Kluyveromyces lactis: one gene and its partner. The protein of the gene in region 1 purifies or fractionates together with the protein of each later gene. This does not show direct contact. Links are inferred from orthologs where the notes say so. Each region holds a gene or a part of one and is shown on either strand. Other genes may lie near its edges.

Region 1 (3,958 bases):
ATTCTTCTGTAAGTGACAGTAGCGAAAGGTATTGATCTAAGGTTAATGACGGCTTTTCCGTTATTACCCATTCCCCTAGTTTTTCACAGTAATCCAATACATTTCCAGTTATCGGCAAATCCGAGAAAGAAGACAAAAGCTTGTCCAAGCTATCCGACACTGAAGGATCACGTTTGAATTTTGTCAATGCTACTACCCATGAACTCACTTTGAGGGTGTTCTGTACCTCATCTATGTTGAAGTCATAGGACTCCTCAAGATGTTGCTTCTGAACCGAGCTAGAGAACGATGACTCTCGACCATAAGTACCGTCACTTCCTCTTCGCTTAGCCACCTTCATGGATGGCAATTCGGTATCATTCATCCTGGGCAACAAATCCTCATCACCAAAGCACAATTGCAAAAGATCTGAATCCAAATCCTGGATATTCTCATAAAGAGAGTGTATCTGCTCATTGGTATCGACAACAGCTTGGTAGTTGCTTTTCAATGCCTTCCCAAATTCCTCACGAAGTTTAACCACATCTCTACTCAATTGAACAGAAATGTCCCTCACTTCGGCCACAGATTTCTCTCTAAATAGACTAGCAGACATATCAGTATAACAAACAGACAGTTAGCTTTCGTTACTTCTATTTTCAACGGATAATACGTGTATGTGAACGTGAATGCGAATGCGTGTATCTGCTTCCAAGATTCAACACTTTCGTCGTCATTCAATGAGTTATCTTAACAAAGCTGTGGTTTCTCTTTACCATCCATTGGTTCTCAGACTGAATATATTGGGTACAGCTGAACAAAGTTCATGAAATTGAAATTTATCAAAAAACAAAAGTCTATTAAGCTCCCTTTGACAGTCGAACCGGCGCTCTTTGTTTTTTTTCTGAGGAATTCCACTTTTTTTGCATAAGCAAGAAGCACGACCTTCGTCATTTCATATAAAGAAATGTGAAAGGCTATATTCTCGCTTTATACGAGGCGAGATATCGAAGAATTCGTTGAAAAGAATTTTCAGAAGAAAGATCGAATTTTGCAAAAGCTCATCTCTCTGATTTAATATTTAGAAACTAAACTATACCCATCTTAGAGAGTTTAAAATCTAATAAAAGTTAGAAATGGATATACCATTATATACACAGTTGTTTCCTTTGTATTCTTAGATTAGATCCACATATATCCAAGCTATTTAACCTCTTATTTGTTCATCATTTAGAGAGTATTGAATTATAAAGAAAGCGTCTGATAGCCTTTTTTTGTTAGTTGCTACAGAGACTTATTATTCATACACAGGTATTTGAACAAGTTCGAGATATATCTTCCATATTTGTCAGTGATATTCACGCATATTCGGAACAGGTAACACGTTAATATAAAGTACAAAGAAAATGGCTCCAGTATCTGCATCTAAGGCAAAGAGAGATGCCAAAAAAGCCGAAAGAGACGCCAAGAGGGTTGCTGCTGGTAAGACTACCAGAAGATCCAAGAAGGAAGATGAAACAGTTGATGAAGCCGCCGCTGCAGCTGACAAAATTGCACAATTGAAGTTGCAACAAGATAAAGACGGTATATCTGACCGTGTCGTTACCGGTGTTCTAGATTCATTGGAAACTTCTCGTGATATTAAGCTATCTTCTGTTTCCTTGTTGTTCCACGGTAAAGTTTTGATCCAAGATTCCCAATTGGAATTAAATTATGGTCGTCGTTATGGTTTATTGGGTGAAAACGGTTGTGGTAAGTCCACTTTCTTGAAGGCTGTTGCCAGCAGAGAATACCCAATTCCTGAAAATATTGATATTTATTTGTTGGACGAACCTGCTGAGCCAAGTGAATATTCCGCTTTGGAATACGTCGTCAGGGAAGCTCAAGGTGAATTGAAAAGATTGGAAGATTTGGTAGAAAAGATTCTCTTGGAAGATGGTCCTGAATCTGATCTATTGGAACCACTATACGAAAGAATGGACGATATGGATCCATCCACTTTCGAATCCAGAGCTGCTATTATCTTGATTGGTTTGGGTTTCAACTCTAAGACTATCAACAAGAAGACCAAGGACATGTCTGGTGGTTGGAAGATGCGTGTCGCTCTTGCTAAGGCTTTGTTCGTTAAGCCAACTCTTTTGTTGTTGGATGACCCAACCGCGCATTTGGATTTGGAAGCTTGTGTTTGGTTAGAAGAATATTTGAAGAGATTCGACAGAACTTTGGTTCTTGTCTCTCATTCTCAAGATTTCTTGAACGGTGTTTGTACCAATATGTTAGATATGAGATTACAAAAGTTGATGGCATACGGTGGTAATTACGACTCCTACGTTAAGACTCGTTCCGAATTGGAGACCAATCAAATGAAACAATACACCAAACAACAAGAAGAAATTGCTCATATCAAGAAGTTCATTGCTTCTGCTGGTACTTATGCCAACTTAGTTAAGCAAGCCAAGTCTAGACAAAAGATTTTGGACAAAATGGAAGCGGATGGTTTGATTCAACCAGTTGCTGCCGACAAGGTCTTCTCCTTCAGATTCCCAGAGGTTGAAAGATTACCACCTCCAGTTTTGGCATTCGATGATATTTCCTTCTCTTACGATGGTAACTCAGAAAACAACCTATACGAACATTTAGACTTTGGTGTTGATATGGACTCTAGAATTGCTTTAGTCGGTCCAAATGGTGTTGGTAAATCTACTTTGTTGAAGATTATGACTGGTCAATTGACCACTCAAAGCGGTCGTGTTTCCAGACACAGTCACGTCAAATTGGGTGTTTACTCCCAACATTCTCAAGACCAATTGGACTTGACCAAGTCTGCCTTGGAATTCGTCCGTGATAAGTATCCACATGTCTCTCAGGATTTCCAATACTGGAGAGGTCAACTAGGTCGTTACGGTCTAACAGGTGAAGGTCAAACCGTTCAAATGGGTACTCTTTCTGAAGGTCAAAGATCAAGAGTGGTGTTTGCATTGCTTGCATTGGAACAACCAAATGTCCTACTATTAGATGAACCTACTAACGGTTTGGATATTCCAACTATTGACTCTTTGGCTGACGCTATTAACGAATTCAATGGTGGTGTCGTTGTTGTCTCGCACGATTTCAGATTGCTTGACAAGATTGCAAAGGACATTTTCGTTGTCGAACATAAGACTGCCACCAGATGGGATGGTAGCATCTTGGATTACAAGAACAAATTGGCCAAGAACGTGGTTTTGTAGATTATTTAATAAATTTTTATGTACAGTCAATTCTATACATTGCCTTCCTGAAATAATTCCAAAGAATGGACAAAACTAAGATACTGCAACTAGAGTAACAGACGGGACAAATAATCATGGTATTAATATTTACCTAGTTTTACACAAATGCTGAGATCACACAGTACCATATGAAACAAAGAAGTAGTGGTAGCAAGTTGATATTATTGCATTGGTTTCTGTCCGATCAAAGTGATATAAAAAAAAAGATTCAAAAAAAAAAAAAAAAAAAAGAGAAAAAGGGAAAAAGATACCTTACAAAACCTTGTTCAACATTGACACAGCATTTATGGTGCTGTAATTATGAGTTTGCAAGATTATGAATACAACTTTTGAAATATGATCAACCGTAATATACAATAATTACAGTATGTTGTATCATTCGAAAGTTGGTTGTAAAAAAACACAATTGTTAAGAAGTGAATAGTCATTATTGAAATAATATGCAATTGAAAAATTTCGGCCATTTCGTAACCATGGTATCAAACGAAACTTGGTTTCGGCAAGGTGGTTACCTGAGGAGCTTCTGTAGCAAACGTAGCACCAGCATAACATTTGCTATGATCATCAGATCTTGATTCAGACCTCATATGATTGCTTTTCTTGTTGCTGCTTTTCGAAGATCTGGAAGATGGAGCAGATGGTGATGAAAACGAAACTGGAACCTGTTGTGGAGGGATACTGTCGTTCTTTCTCGCATTCCTCTTCTT
Region 2 (4,474 bases), on another chromosome or scaffold:
TCTATCCCACATAACTTCTAGTAGTTCATCCAAATTCCATTCCTTACCAGAAGAGATTGGAACTGCATTTGGAATTCTGTATAAAAGTTCCAATTCTTCTAATGACAAAGAATCTATCTTGTTTAGCACATAAATAGCTGGCATATACCTTCTTGATGGAGCTTCAAGTACATCAATCAAATCATCGACGGTGGCATCACATCTGAAAGCAAGCTCCGCACTGTTGATTCTATATTCACTCATAACAGCTCTAATTTCGTCCGGGCCTAGATGCGTCAATGGTACTGTATTTGTAATGGAGATACCACCTTTTTCCTTTTTCTTGATTAAAATGTCTGGAGGTTGCTTGTTCAAACGGATACCAACACCTTCCAATTCCTTTTCAATGATTTGTTTATGATGCAATGGTTTATTAACGTCCAAAACAATAAATAGTAGATTACAAGTTCTGGCCACAGCGATAACTTGTTTACCACGACCACGGCCATCTTTAGCACCGTCAATGATACCCGGCAAATCCAACATTTGAATCTTAGCACCCTTATATTTGATGACACCTGGAACCGTAACTAAAGTGGTAAACTCGTACTCAGCAGCCTCAGATTCTGTACCAGTCAGCTTAGAAAGTAAAGTACTCTTACCCACTGAGGGGAACCCAACAAATCCGACTGAAGCAACACCGGTCCTGGCCACATCGAAACCAACACCGGCACCACCACCACTACCGCTTGAAGCAGCCTGCAATAACTCTCTTCTAAGTTTCGCTAGCTTAGCTTTCAACTGACCCAAATGAAAAGAAGTGGCCTTATTCTTTTGGGTACGGGCCATCTCATCTTCGATGGCCTTAATCTTCTCTACTGTCGTAGACATCTTTTATTTCAATTCAGATATTGATCAGGAAATTCTTCAAAATAAATCCTTTTTTTATAATTTGATGCCAACCTCAGTGGAATACTGACTGATACCTATCGATTCCAACCGTTTAACTGATTTTGGCCTCTGTAACCAAACTATAATGAAACTCTAATATCATTAATCCTAAGCGATGAGATTGTGAATATCTGTAGAACTTCCTACTGTTGACAAAGATGAAGCTGTCAATTTTTTTCAAGCCGTCCAAGGTGATATTTTATACATCTTCAACGCCGATCGTAAATAGCGATGCTGAATGGCATCGACCGGTCTTCACCCCGAAAATAAGGCTAATGGGACCTTTCTGGCCCCTGAAAGATGAATTTTGGGCGCACCTCACCAAAGACAGGGTAATCTAGTATGTTATTTTTTTCTTTCCATCGAGGTACGTATAATCATGAACTTGAAGTTTTTCATCAGTTTTTTATTTTTTAGTACAGGTTTTTCTCACAACTTAAAACTATTTGAAAGATTGTTTTGCGTAAGATCAATTAAAAGGATTTTACATTATCTCTTTACTTGTTATAACCCTCTTTTACACTTTGTTTGCTGTCTATCATAATAAGATTTCGGAAGAACTGTAAAAGTAGAACCTTTGTATCCGAAAGAGTAGTTCAAGATGGCGAAAAAATCAAAGAAGAATCAACAGAATTACTGGGACGAAGAGTATGAGGAAGATGTTCCTCAAGAATCTTCAGTAGAACCCTCGATAGATGGTTCTGTTGAGCCAAGTGGTGAAACCGAAGTTGCCGATGCATCTGCCATTGAGGAAGATTTTATGTCCACTTTGAAGAAATCTAAGAAGAAGCTGGACAAGAAGGAAGACGAGGATACTAAGAAGCCAGTCTTGAAGTCCAAGAAGGAAAAGGAAAAGGAAAAGAAGGAGAAGGAGAAGGAGAAGAAGAGGGAACAAGCCGCAAAGAAGAAGGCTCAGCAACAAGCGCAGAAGGAAAACAACAAGAAACTTCATGCTGAACAAACTTCTAAACTGAAGGCTGAAAAGGAGGCTGGCAAGTCCACTGAAGGTGCGGCACCAAAGGCTGCACCAAAGAAGAAGGTCCCAGCCGGTCTTGCTGCTTTGAAACGTCAATTGGAGTTACAAAAGCAGCTAGAAGAAGAAGAAAGGTTGGCCAGGGAAGAAGAAGAGAGATTGGAGAAGGAAGAAGAAGAAAAGTTGGCCAAGGCTGAACAAGAAAAGGAAGAAGCTAGAAAGGCTAAGCGTGAGAGAGAACAAGCTAAGCGTGAAAAGTTAAAGGCAGAGGGTAAACTTCTAACTAAGAAACAAAAGGAGGAAAAGAAACTGCTTGAAAACAGACGTGCTGCTCTATTGGCTGCCGGTAACATCAAGGTTGCTGGTCTAGAAAAATCCGGCGATGAGCATCCAAAACCAAAGAAGGTTGTTTACGGTAAAAGAGTCAGAAAGACCAAGGAACAAATCGAGTCCGAAAAGGCAATCGAAGAAGAGAAGAAGAAAGCTACTGAAACTCAAGAAGTCGAAGAAGAAGAGGAAGCGTTGATTGATGACTGGGAGAATTTGGCTCTTGACGATGAACCTGAAGAACAAGAAGGAAAAGAAGAAACAAGTGAAAAAGAGCAATATTCTGGTTCTGAAACTTCTAATGCTACTACTCCAGCTCCGGAATTATCCACTGAAGTTACCAAAAACTATGCTTCTCAACCAATCCCTTCCAAGAGATCTGCAGCAGCAGCAAAGAAAGATCTTCGTTCTCCAATCTGCTGTATCTTGGGTCATGTCGATACTGGTAAAACCAAGTTGTTAGATAAGATTAGACAAACCAACGTTCAAGGCGGTGAAGCTGGTGGTATTACCCAACAAATCGGTGCCACTTATTTCCCAATTGACGCTATTGAACAAAAAACCGCAGTTATGGCTAAGTATGAAGAACAAACCTTCGATGTCCCAGGTTTGTTAGTCATTGATACACCAGGTCACGAATCTTTTACCAACTTGCGTTCCAGAGGTTCCTCTTTGTGTAACATCGCCATCTTAGTTATTGATATCATGCATGGTTTAGAACAACAAACCATTGAATCCATCAGATTATTGAGAGACAGAAAGGCTCCTTTCATCGTTGCCTTGAATAAGATCGATAGATTGTACGACTGGGTAATTACACCAAACAACTCTTTCAGAGACTCCTTTGACAAACAAGAACGAGCAGTTAAGCAAGAGTTCCAAACTAGACTTGACAACATCAAAGTCGCTCTTGCTGAACAAGGTTTGAACTCAGAATTGTATTTCCAAAACAACAACCTAGCCAAATACGTCTCTATTGTTCCAACATCTGCCGTTACAGGTGAAGGTGTTCCTGATTTGTTGTGGTTGCTATTAGAATTGACTCAAAAGAGAATGTCTAAGCAATTGAAATATTTGTCTCACGTTGAAGCTACAATTCTTGAAGTGAAGGTTGTTGAAGGTTTCGGTACCACTATCGATGTTATTCTATCTAATGGTTACTTAAGAGAGGGTGACAGAATCGTTTTATGTGGTATGAACGGTCCGATTGTGACGAATATCAGAGCCTTGTTGACACCTCAACCCTTACGTGAGTTACGTTTGAAGTCTGAATATCAACATCACAAAGAAGTCAAGGCTGCTCTAGGTGTAAAAATTGCTGCAAATGATTTGGAAAAGGCTGTTTCTGGTTCCCGATTATTAGTTGTAGGTCCAGACGATGATGAAGAAGAAATGATGGATGACGTCATGGAAGATTTGACTGGTCTTTTAGACTCTGTGGATACTTCTGGTAGAGGTGTTGTTGTTCAAGCTTCTACATTGGGTTCATTAGAAGCTTTATTAGACTTCTTAAAAGACATGAAAATTCCTGTTATGTCTGTCGGATTAGGTCCTGTTTACAAGCGTGATATAATGAAGGCTTGTACTATGTTAGAAAAAGCTCCTGAATTAGCGGTTATGCTATGCTTTGATGTCAAGGTTGATAAGGAAGCAGAACAATATGCTGCAGAACAACATATCAAAATTTTCAATGCTGATATTATTTACCATTTATTCGATGCCTTCACAGCCTACCAGAAGGAACTACTTGAAAAGCGTCGTGCTGAGTTTATCGGTGACGCTACCTTCCCATGCGTCCTGAACACTCTACAAATCATTAACAAGCGTGGCCCTATGATCATTGGTGTGGATGTCATTGAAGGTTCATTGAAGATCGGTACTCCTATCTGTGCAGTGAAATATGACCCAGCAACAAAGGAGAGAATAACATTGTTGCTTGGTAGAGTCACTTCCTTGGAAATCAATCACCAATCTGTGACTGAAGTCAAGAAGGGTCAAACCAATGCAGGTGTTGCAATGCGTTTAGAAGATCCTTCCGGTCAGCAACCAATCTGGGGTCGTCATGTTGATGAAAAAGATACATTGTATTCTCACATCACTAGAAGGTCCATTGATACATTGAAAGATCCTGCTTTCAGAGATCAAGTTCCAAAATCTGATTGGATGTTGATTCGTAAACTAAAGCCAGTCTTTGGAATCGAATAGTTAAATAGCATTTACCTGTAAATTATGTAAAAGTTGTAA

What was found.
Region 2: the proteins of ARB1 (region 1) and FUN12 purify together in Saccharomyces cerevisiae (affinity purification with mass spectrometry, with the first as the bait; 3 studies listed by BioGRID). This does not show direct contact. The link is inferred for Kluyveromyces lactis from reciprocal best matches to the Saccharomyces cerevisiae genes ARB1 and FUN12.

Annotation. Positions count from the first base shown.
Region 1 is NC_006037.1:128,693-132,650, forward strand, and holds ARB1 (ATP-binding cassette family ATPase ARB1), read left to right. Parts: upstream 1-1,385; coding exon 1,386-3,209; downstream 3,210-3,958. Other genes in the region: Golgi transport complex subunit COG1, read right to left, coding at 1-595; KLLA0_A01474g (uncharacterized protein), read right to left, coding at 3,731-3,958. UniProt on the Saccharomyces cerevisiae protein: ATPase that stimulates 40S and 60S ribosome biogenesis.
Region 2 is NC_006042.1:2,170,486-2,174,959, reverse strand, and holds FUN12 (translation initiation factor eIF5B), read left to right. Parts: upstream 1-1,531; coding exon 1,532-4,435; downstream 4,436-4,474. Other genes in the region: GTP-binding protein RBG1, read right to left, coding at 1-870. UniProt on the Saccharomyces cerevisiae protein: Plays a role in translation initiation. Translational GTPase that catalyzes the joining of the 40S and 60S subunits to form the 80S initiation complex with the initiator methionine-tRNA in the P-site base paired to the start codon.